2 linked regions of the Medicago truncatula genome follow. Each later gene encodes a partner of the first gene's protein in a complex. Links are inferred from orthologs where the notes say so. Each region holds a gene or a part of one and is shown on either strand. Other genes may lie near its edges. The genes, in order: acetylglutamate kinase, chloroplastic; nitrogen regulatory protein P-II homolog.

Region 1 (5,828 bases):
GAGTATTGTAATGTTATTTTATCAAAAAAATTGTCAGATTCTATAACTTTAGGGATTAAAAATTGGAATAAAACTATACTGATTTATGAAGAATCTATAACGACCAATCTACATACTAAAAACTGAAAAATCCATAACAACCAATCTACAACATACTAAGAAAACTACATACCAAAGTCGTGACAACTGACAATGTGCAATGGAGATTCATTTTTCCCCCTCTCTTTCATGATAACGGTATATGAAGTTAAAGATGTGACGAATGGAATGAACAACCAAGTCTTATTTCTCCCTCCAATGTTCAAGAATTTTTAAAAGTAGATGTGAAGAACGAAATTTCTCCCTCTAATGTCTTTATTTACTTGTTTTTGTTTTTGAATGTTGTTAACTGCGGGAAAGTTCTGAATCAGATAAACAGCTGTGGAGTTTGCAGCAGGCTAAAGGCTTGAGAAGTGTTAGCACCTTTTTATAGCAGTGTTTGATAACGGGTAAATAACATTTTTTTAATCATTGAAATAGTAAGGTGAATCAATTTCTTACTTAAAAAATGAAACATTAAACACCACAGTTTTAAAAATTATAGAGTCCGAAATGTTTGATTTAATCAGTGTTTGTTTACGCCTCCACATCATTAGACGGTCGTAAACAACAGCTTCCCCTAACATTGCAGGGCAATTATTATTATCTAACAACATAACTTACATTGGCTTTCCAGTTCTACCACCTAATTTCCGAGTCTTACAAATTGAAGGTGCAATCAACATTGTGAAGAAAACACAGAGCTTGAATTTAAAACTAAAAAACATGATTTCGCAAGTAAATTAGCCAGTAATCATGGTACCAGCACCTTCATCAGTTAAAATCTCAAGTAACAAAGAGTGTGGAACCCTACCATCAATAATACTTGCAGTTTTAACCCCTTGTGCTAGCGATCGAATGCAACAATTCACCTTAGGAATCATTCCACCACCAATAATTCCATCTTCAATCATCTTTGTCACTCCTTTTATATCAATCTTCTTCACCAAACTCTCTGGATCATTCCGATCTTCCAATATCCCCGCCACATCCGTCAACAGTATCAATTTCTCCGCTCCTAATGCCGCCGCTAATTCTCCGGCAACCGTATCGGCATTGATGTTGTACAGTTGTCCGGATTCATCAGCCGCAACGGATGCAACCACTGGAATTTGTCCGCTGTCGACTAGAGACCGGAGAACAGCAGGATCTACTCTTGCAACCTCGCCAACGAACCCAAGGTTTGAGGAATTAGGACTAGGACGTGCGGTGAGGAGTTTTCCGTCCACACCGGAGAGACCGACGGCGGTGGCGTCGGCTTTGTTGATTAAAGAAACGAGAATTTTGTTAACTTTTCCGACGAGAACCATGGAAACGATCTCCATCGTTTCAGCGTCAGTGACACGGAGGCCGTCACGGAAAACGGGCTGAATGTTGAGACGGCCGAGCCAGTGGTTGATTTCAGGACCGCCGCCGTGAACCATGACAGGACGGAGACCGACGCACCAGAGGAGAACGAGATCGTTAATGACTGAGGCTTGAAGCTCCGGTGACTTCATGGCGGCGCCGCCGTATTTGACGACGATAGTTTTGCCTCTGAATTTTTGTATGAAAGGAAGCGATTCAGAGAGGATGTCGACTCGGAATTGACCCGGAGATGCTGGCTCGGGTGACGCGGCTGAAGCGGAGATACAACGACAGCCATTGGATGGAAAAGAGAGGTTGGTTTGTGTGCGTTTGATTTTGATATCGATTTTGGTTGATGAGATGAATGGGAATGGAGCTCCCAAGAAGTTTGTGAAGGTTTTTGCAGCTCCTCCCAACATTGCGTTACACTTACACGCACGCTTGCACTGCCAGCCCAAGTTGAACTGAATGACTTGAAAATCAAATACAACTAGGGTTTACGGGGATATAATTAATTTTCCACGTGCCATTCTGCAGTTTTATTTTATTAAGAAACTCAAATCTTGATTAACAAAAAAAATTGATTCTCTCCCTCAAAAATAAAATTAAATTGATTCTCTTTATTTTGTTAAAAAAAAATTGATTTATTATTTTTATTTATTTTCGTGAAAAGTACTACATTATATATATCATAATTTTGGGGTGTAGTCAGGAATTCTAAGAGTGTGACTAGAAATTTTAGTACACAACACTAAATTATTTATCGTTTTTTTTTTTTTTGTGGTGATGGAGTTCGAACCTCCGACCTTACATATATTATTGTAGTAAGAATCAAAAAATCTAATTTGTTTTTACGACTTAAGTCCCCTTAGTAAAAAATCGATATTGTTTTTAGGACTTATGACTCATTTGTTTTAGATTTAAAAAACATAAATTTTCCTTTGTTTTTTTTAAAAATGAATTGAAAATTTATTTAAAAAAGGGTCATGTTAACCGGAATCGGTATCCCCGGGGCACGGATTAATGAAGCAAATATAGTAGTAATATTTGCATTAAAAGTTGTGTAATTAATGAATTACAAGCTTAAAAAATGTCTCTTTTGATTTACAATTTCTTCTTTTGCTTCCTTAACTAGTGCCCCGGGGGCATTGGTTAACATTTCTCATTTAAAAATAGTAGAAATTTTTTGGAAATCACATATTATTCTTGATCAAAAAACATCATTCGAAAAATAATTTTTATGAAAAGTTATTTTAAATAGCCTTTTATTTTAGACATTTTTAAAATGTTATTATCCAAAAAAAGTTAAAACAAAATGATGAAATATTATTTATAATAACATTCCAAGATAAAATATTCAAACGAATTTTTCATTTGATGTTTTCCTTCAAAAATTATTTGTTAAAAATTTATAGCAAAAAGATGCTAAATTATACAAATTTATTTAAGAAAAAACTATAACAAACTACTCTAAACCAAACTTTTGGAGTTAACTATAAAGTTTTAATAATCATGTCATGTAGCTTAAACACTGTATATCTTATCAAGGTTGAGTTCCTTAAAAAAAAATGTCATCAAGGTTGAGTGAGACTAATCATTAGTGAGTTTAATTATATAGTCAGTAGACCTCCACACAATAAAATTTGGTTTAAACAGATAATTTAGTCCTTAAATTTTAAGTCTCTCGACAATTTGATCCATAATTTTTTTTTTTTATAGAGATGGTCCATAAACTATCAAAATCAACTAAACAAATTTTAAACTATCCTTTCATCCAATTATTTACTCTCTTAATTAAAAAATTGTGTTTTGTTTTTTATGATCATACAGCGACGTAAATGATGTACTTTTTATAGTATAGTTTAAAAACGAAATTGATGAGAGCATGACAATTTAAGGATCAAATTCATACAATTTGCTCGAGGAGTGTTATTTGAACAATCATTTTTGTCAGACAATTAAAAATGAGAATTGATACAAAAACCAAAGTAATACAGGGAGAAAATAAAAACACAGCCTGAATATGAGAGAGAAAGTCGTCACAAAAATTATCACAATCATTTCTCAATTTGCAAACTCAACCTCAGAGAGGTTCAAGGTTGCGAGTCTAATCATTATCAAAATGCGATGGTACACTCTAAACACCAAATCGACTTCCCCACTCTCACTGGCTCGAAGAACACAACACAACAAAACATGAATATTCATTTATCCCTTTCCCCTTCTAGAAACTTCCACTAGTTTTGATTTTACCATTCAAACCCAATCATGTTAGAAAATTGCTGTATACACATGTTATAAGGCTGAAAAACACAAGTAAAAGACGAAAATGCCACCGTGACAGTTAACTACCGAAATTAAGAACCGGCTGCAGTTAACTGCCGAAGGAAACTTCGGGAGTTAACTGCCGATGAAGAAAAAAAAACCATTGACACTTAAGTGCCGAGGAGCTCAAAACTGCCAATTTTTTTCCCTACTTGTTGAGTTAGCGTATGCGTTTTAACTGAAACTTAAGTGCCTCATTTAGAAATTAAAATAGTAGAAGATATATAGAAAATGTGTGTCTAGCTTTAGAAACTTAAACCTGTCCTCTAGATATTGTTTTTTTAGTTGAGGATGTAGGATATAATAATTGATTATCCTCAATTTATAGGTAAGCTAGCTTTAAATTCAAAGGGTTTGAATTTGAAATATTTGTTTACAAGGGTAGGTAAGGATTGTGAACCATGCCTCAAAAGAGTGGCACCAAAGAAAGATAATTTTTCTTACTTTTAGCCGTTTTTTGTGACCTTGAGAGGCAAAAGAGGGAAAAAAAAACAAACGGAAACAAATGGAATTTGGTAGTTAAGTTATAATAGTGTTGTGACCTTTAGGCACTTAAGTTTCGATTCCACGACAAACAAACCACACATATATACGCTAGCTCAACAAGTAGGGGGAAATAATTTGGCATTTTTGAGCTCCTCAGCAGTTAACTGCCGAAGGAACTTCTGTAGTTAACTACAGCCGGTTCTTAATTTCGGTATAAAATGTGTATACAGCAATTTTCATCATGTTAACATACCCAGCAGCACTTGTTACTGTTGCAATCTTCAATTGATTCAACTTGGGTTTCAAAACTTTCTTTAAACCCCAAATCTTTTATCCATCAGTATGCTATTGTATTTTTTGTTTTAATTTGATGATGTTAGACGATTTTTATCAGTTTAAGATCCGACTTCAAATAGCTGCTGCTGTATAAGGAACATCGAAACAACATGGTCTTGATTCCTATGGTGAAAATCTATAACCTCCAAGTGTATCGATAATCATTAAGAAATTTATCTTGCACCATGCACCACTTGAGTGACTTGTGCACATCAGAAATTGCACTCAAATTAGATTTTTATTTCAAACATTTTTAAAAAATTGTCATTGAAAAAGAGTCCAAATTAGATTTTTATTTCAAACATTTTTTAAAAATTGTCATTGAAAAAGAGTCCGTAACAGAATGACTTATTCCAAGAAACTATTCAGACCGATTTCTGATTTTGAAGCTTTTTTTTTTAAAAAAAATTCTCTAAAAAAGCTGTAAACAAAAACAAAACAGTTGCATCCCCATATCGCATTCGCAGCCCAGTAAAAATGCAGTTTCCTAAAAATATATACAATTATGTTACTCGACTTTATACCACTGATAAGTAGGAAGAGTTAAATGTGAAAGACTACAGCAAAATTTTGAGAAAACAAAGCGACCTTTCGCCCAAAAATGAATACAATGAAGAGATTATAATTACAGCATCTCAGATTAACAACTAATAACCACCAAAGTCATAATCGTCATCACTACTCTCGGATTCAAGTCCTTGACTATCATCATCGTCGTCCTCATCCCCATCCGTCACAATATCCAACATGTCGTGTCCATCAAAGTCTATATCGTCCATCATGTAACCTCCATCGTCGTCATCATCATCAGGATCACTTACACTATCATCATCATCTTCATTGCTGCTCATGTCTTCAGCATCACTGTCGCTTCCCACACCAAAACCAGGGCCTAAAAGAGGATCTTCATTGTCATCGTCGTCATCTTCATCTTCTTCCTCGCTTTCAGCATCATCAGGATCAGAATCATCATCAGTTGGCCTCCGACGACCAATTTCATATGATCTGGCTGACGAATACATATCACCTTGATCATCCATGGTAATCAACCCAACAAATGAATCTGTTGGTTCGGTTGCAAAATCAAGAACACAGCGATCCACAGGGATGGTAGCAATGTCAGAATAATTTATTGCATCCACTGTGCGAAACGCTGAAAAAAGCGGATGCTTAACACGGCGTGCATGCATTGCTGACATTACATCCTCAAGATTTCTCCTTAAGATTGCATACATAACATCTCCACGAGCATTGAA
Region 2 (6,979 bases), on another chromosome or scaffold:
ACCAAACCCATTCCTAATACTTTTATTTAAAAAATAAAAAAAAACATTCATACATAGAATTACGAAAACATGAACTAAATTTTTGACTGAACGAAAAATGCTGACTAAATTGGTTTGAGAATCAAATATTCACAAATTCTTATTAACTATCAACAACTCTGCATGTGTCAACTACATTGTTCTTAGAATATTGCACACATCTAAGTAACTAACAGCAAAGTGCAAAATACACACAACATACATCATTGTTATCAATTCTACAGGGGAAAAGAGAACAGAGGACCAAATTGCAAATGCTAATCTTTTGTTCAAACAGACAACGCGTCAGTTAGTCCCCCAGCCATCCTCTCAGCCTGCTCCCCACGCTCACCTGAGAATTCATATTTAAAACTTGAGTACACATGCTCTACACAAAAATGTAAACATTTTATGTTTTTAGACAATTCACTCGAGCAAATAGTTACCTGTGCGGATTCTTATTACATCAGATACAGGGATCACTGCACAATCAAAGTTCTATTAGAAATATGATACAGTTCCAAATTGAGTTTAGTAGTTTTACATTTTGAATCTAGATATTGTACTGTAACTCTTATACCCTCCTTAAACTAATTTATTATGAAAGATTCTGATAAAACATATCAGGTTTGTATCAGCTCAAAACAGAACATCACGTATAATTGATTTCCAGCAAAAGATGTTGGCCTTACAGAAAATTTTGCCATCACCAATCTCCCCAGTTCTTGCCGTCTCCATAATTTTGTTTATCACTGCCTCAACCTGAAAAAATGCATGATACGTATTAGATATGCTGCAAAAAGCAATATTTTGTTTGTAATTAAAAGTAGCATGAAGTTTTACTCGAACTACTAAATAATTCAAACACCACTGAGCTGAAAATGTTTATTCTAACTACTCCTGACTATGTCCCTTGTTGTCAAACAAAAGAAAACGGTTTTGTTTAATCTCTTGAAATGCAAACACTTTGAAATAGTGACTAGTCATGTATGAGTTCGGAAGATGCTGAATACGCAGGAACCAATGGCAATGGTCTTATCATATCCAAGAAAAAGTTTGTGCTATACTCTCACCAATATATCTAGCCAAAAAAACTGAGAAGACCCAAATCCATAGACAACTGACATTGTATGTTAATTGTATAGAATATTAGGTATTTAAGATTGTAGCACACGAATCAGGATGCCAATGATTACTACCAAATGTCAACACACCTGGTCTTTTCTCACCACTATTTCCATTTTAACTTTGGCAACAAAATTGTCTTCAGAAAATTCGGAGCCTGTGAAGAATAAACCATCAATAAAGGACAAGGATGTAAGTGAGCATGCGATCTATATGTAATATATGCACAAAACTAAGTATACAAACCAATCCCAAAGGAAGGAAAAATGTAATTCTTGAACTATATATAACAGAACAAAAGTTACAGACATAAAACACGGCTGAAGTTGGGTGGCCACAGGCCTAAATTTGTGCGCTAACATTTAGTAAAAAAAGAAAGAGCAAGTGTTTTTTTTAAGGCACGAATTCAACAAAATTTACCATAACAAATAGTCTAGTGATGAAATATGGACTTCAAAAATGTATGACGGTAACAAAAATTCCTCCAAACTCTTAACATGAATTTGTCTTTGAAGTTAACAAGGGTGAATAGAGCACTAAATTTAGGTCGGTTAAGATCAGCAACGTACATACCTCCCTGCCTCTCTTTTGAGCCACCCTGAGCACCAAACCCCTTGACATCAGATACAGTGACACCACGAATTCCCATTTTCAACAAACCCTTCAAATTTTACAATAAAAAATTCAGTATATTAGCACAAGGCCAAGGGCTTCCTGGATGAAAAATACATATATGAGCCGCATTGACCAAACCAATAATTCGAGAGGTAAAGGTCCTGGGGTACAAGTACTAAGTACAAACTCAAAAGTCATGGATCTCGTCCCAAGAGGGTAATGAACCCATTCTATAGGTGTATATTAATGATAAAACTAACGCAATACTTTTGCTTATTTGACCGCAAAAGTATTTGAAGCAATAACACAATCTTATGCACCAACTGCTAAAAATCTATTGAAAATGAAACCTTTTGGAAGTTGGAAAAAACAAAGAGAGGCGCTGAATGGAATCAATTGAATGAATTCACCAAGAAACATAGTAGTTAATATACACAGCATGTGTCATGTGCGCTAATGAAATGCCAACTAATTAACATAACAGTTAACTGACTTTGCCAATAATTAACTTATTAACTGACTTTGAAACTAATTAACTAACACTGTGTTAATCTAAGGCTTACTAACTAACTAACTAACTAGCAGAATTCAGTCCAAAAACACTAACATAATTTAGTCAAGAAAATACCATAATAGTTAACTGAATTTGCAATGAGTTAACCACCACTTGTAAACAATGTCAAGAAATCACAGGTATCAAAGACAATGTATCCAATTTAGTGAAAATAACAAGAATCACATTTTAATTTAGACATGCAAAAAAAAAAAAAAGGAAAAAGGAAAATGTATTATTACCGAAGAAACCTGAGGGATTCTCCATGGCCTGTTCATGTTGAAACAAGAAATTGAACAACATAAGCATCAAGAAATAACTGAATTCAACTGATTTCACAAAAAAACGTAAAAGAAGAGTGTTATAACCTGAGAATGGCTTCAACTTTGTAAAACTTGGATTCAGGAACATAGTCTAAAAAAGAGATCAAAGATTTAGCAACAAGATTTGAGTATGAATATGGATGAACATAGCTAAAGGAAAGGAAATCGAACCAGGAAGGTTTTGAGCTCTGATTTTGGGAAGAATCGATGCATTTCCGTTGCTTTTTAGGACCACATTGCGATGAGAAGAATCTCCGAAACGCTTGCGAATGACGCTGAAGCTTGAAAAAGGAAATTGAGTTTCATTGATATGAAAATTCAAACCGTTGAACACGTTCGGTTTCGCAATCAAAGCCATTTCTTCTTACTTCTCACTTCGCTTACCGAACTCTCCCTAGCTCGCTAGACACAGTATTGACTTAATTGAAGTTTTGTTAAGTAATAATCGATAGTTGCTAAAAAAAAATGGCAAAGTTACACTTTAGTCCTTTAACTTAATTTCAGGTAACAGTTTGGTCCTTTATCTTTTTTTCATTTCAATTTGGCCCTTTTTGTCCATTTTCATATGAATTTTTAAGCTTAAAATTCATGATTTTATTTTCTTATGGTCTTTCAGTCTTCAAATCTATGATCCTCGTTTATGTTTGGATAAGAATATTAGATTTGAAGCTTGAAAATGTATATGAAAATGGACAAAAAGGACTAAATTGAAATGAAAAAAAGATAAAGGACCAAACTGTTACCTGAAATTAAGTTAAGGGACTAAAAGTGTAATTTTGTAATAATCGATAGACACTTGCTTTTCTCTGCCTTGGAAACATACCTAAATTACTAAAAAAACTTAGTGCCAATTAATAGCGGCCGGTTCTCTAATTACTACCTCCGGTCCTTTTTATCAAAATAAAAGTGAATTTTTTTGTCCAAGATTGATCAAGTTTCAAATATGTTTAAAGCTAAATTTCATCTGTGCCCTTGTTGATTATGAGAGAGAATATTAAAAGTAAGTAAGTTGATGGAATAAAAAGTAATTAATTTAAGGGTATTCATAGAATTTTTTTAAATGTAAAAGTGTATTAAATGAAGATGACTATTTTCAATGTATTTTCTTGATGTTGATGTTTTATGTCTTTTGTTTCTTGTATAAAGGATCAGAGGAAGTATAAGCAACCATAATTAACTACGTTAGGAGTATTTTACTTGTATTTTTAAAAAGTTTATGATTTTAAAAAATCTAATTTTTTAAACTTTTTTATAGTCAAGTAGGCTAACAATTAAAAAGTTCACATAAATATATACCTTATCAAGCTTATGCGGATTTTTTTAAAAATGCCACATTTGTTAGCATGTTTTTTTTTTGGTCAACCAGTTTAATAATAAATTCATCTTTTTTTTTTTTTTTTTAACTCGTTTGTCGTCCACATGGATCCCACAATATTTGAGGGATTAGTCTTTGAAATTACGTGTAGAAGATATTGGTTTACACCAATAAAAATTCATCTCTTAAAAGAGAAAGTGTAGTATATTTGCTTGAACCCGACCCCTATATATAATACAATATTTTCTATCAACTGAGTTTTTTTTTTTTTTTTTTTTTTTATGGTGGTCGGAGTTTGTTCAACGTATTGAAATTTTTAAATAGTGTTAGATTGTGCACTTTGTTGATCAAAATAATTTCTAACATTAAAATAATTCAGGTGCGTTTGATTCTTAAAAAAATTGAAGTAGGAGAATTTAAGTTGTACTCTGTTTGATTTGTAAATTGGTGACAACTAGAGTACCAATGAAAGAATGGTGGATAATTTACCTCAACATACACATTAGCCACATAAGCACATTTTTAAGTGGTATCCATGAACTATCTTGACTCCATCAACAAATTGCTCATTTTCATTGGTTGGTGGGTAAATTACCCACCATTCTTCAAAGGTAATCTAGAAAAAACCTTATAAATTTGTTTAATTGCTAAGAGATGTGACAAAAACTAAAATTATGTTATCATTAAACCACATGATTTTTTATCTTTCCGTTGTCTAAAATACCAAAATAATTTTTTTTCCATCAAAGATCATATAAGATAAAAAATATTCAATACGTGAAGTTTATCATGTGTTGTTTTGCTGCTGTGAGTTTGGAAAATGACCGACCCTACCGCAGGACTATTTTGCAATTTCGATAGATTTATTTATGTTGTTATGTAACGGGAAAATAACGGGGGAGTTGGCGGTTGTGTATTCTATAGTAGACGATGAGTGATTTTGTGTACAGAATCAGCACGGCGAAGGAATGGGAGGAATTGCAAAGAAATGGGTCCACTTTCGGTGGTGAACTTGACAAGTCTTCTTCTTTCATCCATCTTAGCAAACTCGAACAGGTTAATTAATTTCTATGTTTTTCTAATATTTTGATTTTGATTTCATTTCACTGTTTTGCTCATGTTCATATAAGTCACTTCATTCATTGGGATTCTGAATTCTATAATTATTTTATTATTGCAGGTTCGATCAACGTTGGATAATTTTTTCTTGAATTCTAAAGATGAACTCTACCTTCTTCAGATTGATGCTAAGAAGGTTTGCTCATACTTCACCTTCATTATGCTTTTTTTAATGTGTTCTTGATTTTATTTGTGAATAAATAATTAAAAAAACATGCTTATTGGTAGTGATGAAGATTATTAGAAATGTATCATTCAACTAAAATCTGAAGGAAAATGAAACTCTGTTTCTATTCATAAAGTGACACTTAGTGTGTATTAAAATTTGATTTGTTCACATGAGAATACACTAGATTATACAGGACTTTGTAGGAAGATATAAATCTGATCTGATTACCATTGAAAATTTAGGTTTTCCCATTAAAACACTTTCATTAATAATTCATTCAATGAAATAAAATTAAATAAATAAGCATAGCACAGTTATTTTATTATTAGGCTACTCTATTGTCTTGCTAATAGTAAAGTAATATTTTCTCTTTTGCTGTGCTATTTCCTCAGCTTGGCGATGGTTTGGTGTATGAAATTGTGGACGGTTCAAATAGTTTCCCTCATTTTTATGGGCCATCTCGAAGCTTTATCCCTCTCCCTCTAGATGTGGTCACAAAAGCGGAGGAGCTGTCTCTTTCAAATGGTCGGTTCAGTTGTAGTTTGCTTGATTAAGTAGTCTGTTGATTAGCTGTCTATCATTTTCTTGTTTTCTCATACTTTCTCATGATGTGTGTGTAAGGAGCATGGATGTTAGTTCTATGCAACTGTCTAACAGACAAACCTTGATCATCTTTTCTTAATGAAGGAGATAGAATGTTGAGTTATTGACATGCTACTGTTGGAGTTTTAAGTTTCTGGATAACCAATGATTATATTATACTATTTTTACATATCTCAAATTCTCAATCAACATGTAAGTCTTGTTTATAATACCCTTTTCTACATCACAAATTTCATTGTTTGCAAAAATAAATATTTTGACCCCAAAACCACAGAATGTTTCGCACTTCAAATGACAGGGTGAAGAGTACTTGGGTACTGGGGTATCCTGCCACTGTAGTTGCTATCACTAGAGGATTCGTCCAGGGCATCTTATTTGTGAAATTGTTAGCAATTTGAATCAAGATTCCTTATTCACTCACTCTACAAGGGTGGCCTGTCCTGCAGACCTTGTGCAGATGCCAATGTTCAACATGTTCAGGAGAATGAAAAGGGGAAATCACCAGGTTCTGATCCTCTTTATTGGCCTTCCTAGCGAGCTTTCCTTATTAAATTGTTTCAAGCTACTTTTTCCAATCATTGTGAATTGTCTCCTTGGTTTGCTTGATTGGAAAAAACCCCATCACTGCAAAACAATAACACAAGAAAGTGGTGTTAACCTTGAGAGTTGAGAGTTTTTTCTTCTTCTTTCCTTTTAGAGTTTTTGGACATAAAAGTAGGATGTTAAGAACGATGTTCAAGTATTGCATCATCTTCACTAAGGATTAGTTGGTAGATATATAAAATTGAGATAATATAATTTAGCAAGGGACCAAATTGAAAATATTGATTTGTTAGGGACTTAAAATAGGTTTTCTTGCGATTAGAATAGATAATAATGTACTGATTATATATGTTTGTGTTATCCTTTTTTTTTGCAAAAATATGCAACTTATCACCAAATTTATCTTTTTTGTTATCACTTTAGTTCTTCATATGGATGAAAAGTTGATATTTTGGATGTCTGAAAAGCTAATTTGGTGATTAAATTTTTAGAATATAAATGTGGCGAGGATTTTGATTTTGAGAGATTAAACTGGTGATTATAGACAGAATTTTTTGAGACCAACTTGAAGATATACTTTTAGTGAAAAAAGCAAG

The links.
Region 2: the proteins of acetylglutamate kinase, chloroplastic (region 1) and nitrogen regulatory protein P-II homolog are in contact, whole or in part, in a crystal structure (PDB 2RD5), measured with the Arabidopsis thaliana proteins. The link is inferred for Medicago truncatula from reciprocal best matches to the Arabidopsis thaliana genes NAGK and GLB1. Residues at the interface, in NP_191315.1 of Arabidopsis thaliana: Arg195, Glu208, Val209, Ala210, Arg211, Val212, Glu251, Ala254, Ala255, Ile286, Lys287, Lys290, Ile310, Arg311, Ala314, Gln315, Gly316, Gly347; in NP_192099.1 of Arabidopsis thaliana: Arg82, Trp84, Arg85, Gln88, Arg118, His119, Gly120, Gly121, Ser122, Glu123, Glu153, Thr157, Glu159.

What each region holds. Positions count from the first base shown.
Region 1 is NC_053044.1:53,573,688-53,579,515, forward strand, and holds acetylglutamate kinase, chloroplastic, read right to left. Parts: upstream 1,917-5,828; 5' UTR 1,845-1,916; coding exon 822-1,844; 3' UTR 549-821; downstream 1-548. Other genes in the region: DDB1- and CUL4-associated factor homolog 1, read right to left, coding at 5,220-5,828. UniProt on the Arabidopsis thaliana protein: Involved in the arginine biosynthetic pathway via the intermediate compound ornithine.
Region 2 is NC_053048.1:52,074,274-52,081,252, forward strand, and holds nitrogen regulatory protein P-II homolog, read right to left. Parts: upstream 3,062-6,979; 5' UTR 2,993-3,061; coding exon 2,806-2,992; intron 2,726-2,805; coding exon 2,680-2,725; intron 2,582-2,679; coding exon 2,554-2,581; intron 1,805-2,553; coding exon 1,717-1,804; intron 1,301-1,716; coding exon 1,233-1,300; intron 781-1,232; coding exon 711-780; intron 501-710; coding exon 465-500; intron 371-464; coding exon 309-370; 3' UTR 88-308; downstream 1-87. Other genes in the region: uncharacterized protein, read left to right, coding at 4,880-5,005, 5,130-5,204, 5,630-5,791. UniProt on the Arabidopsis thaliana protein: Participates in sensing carbon and organic nitrogen status and regulates some steps of primary carbon and nitrogen metabolism.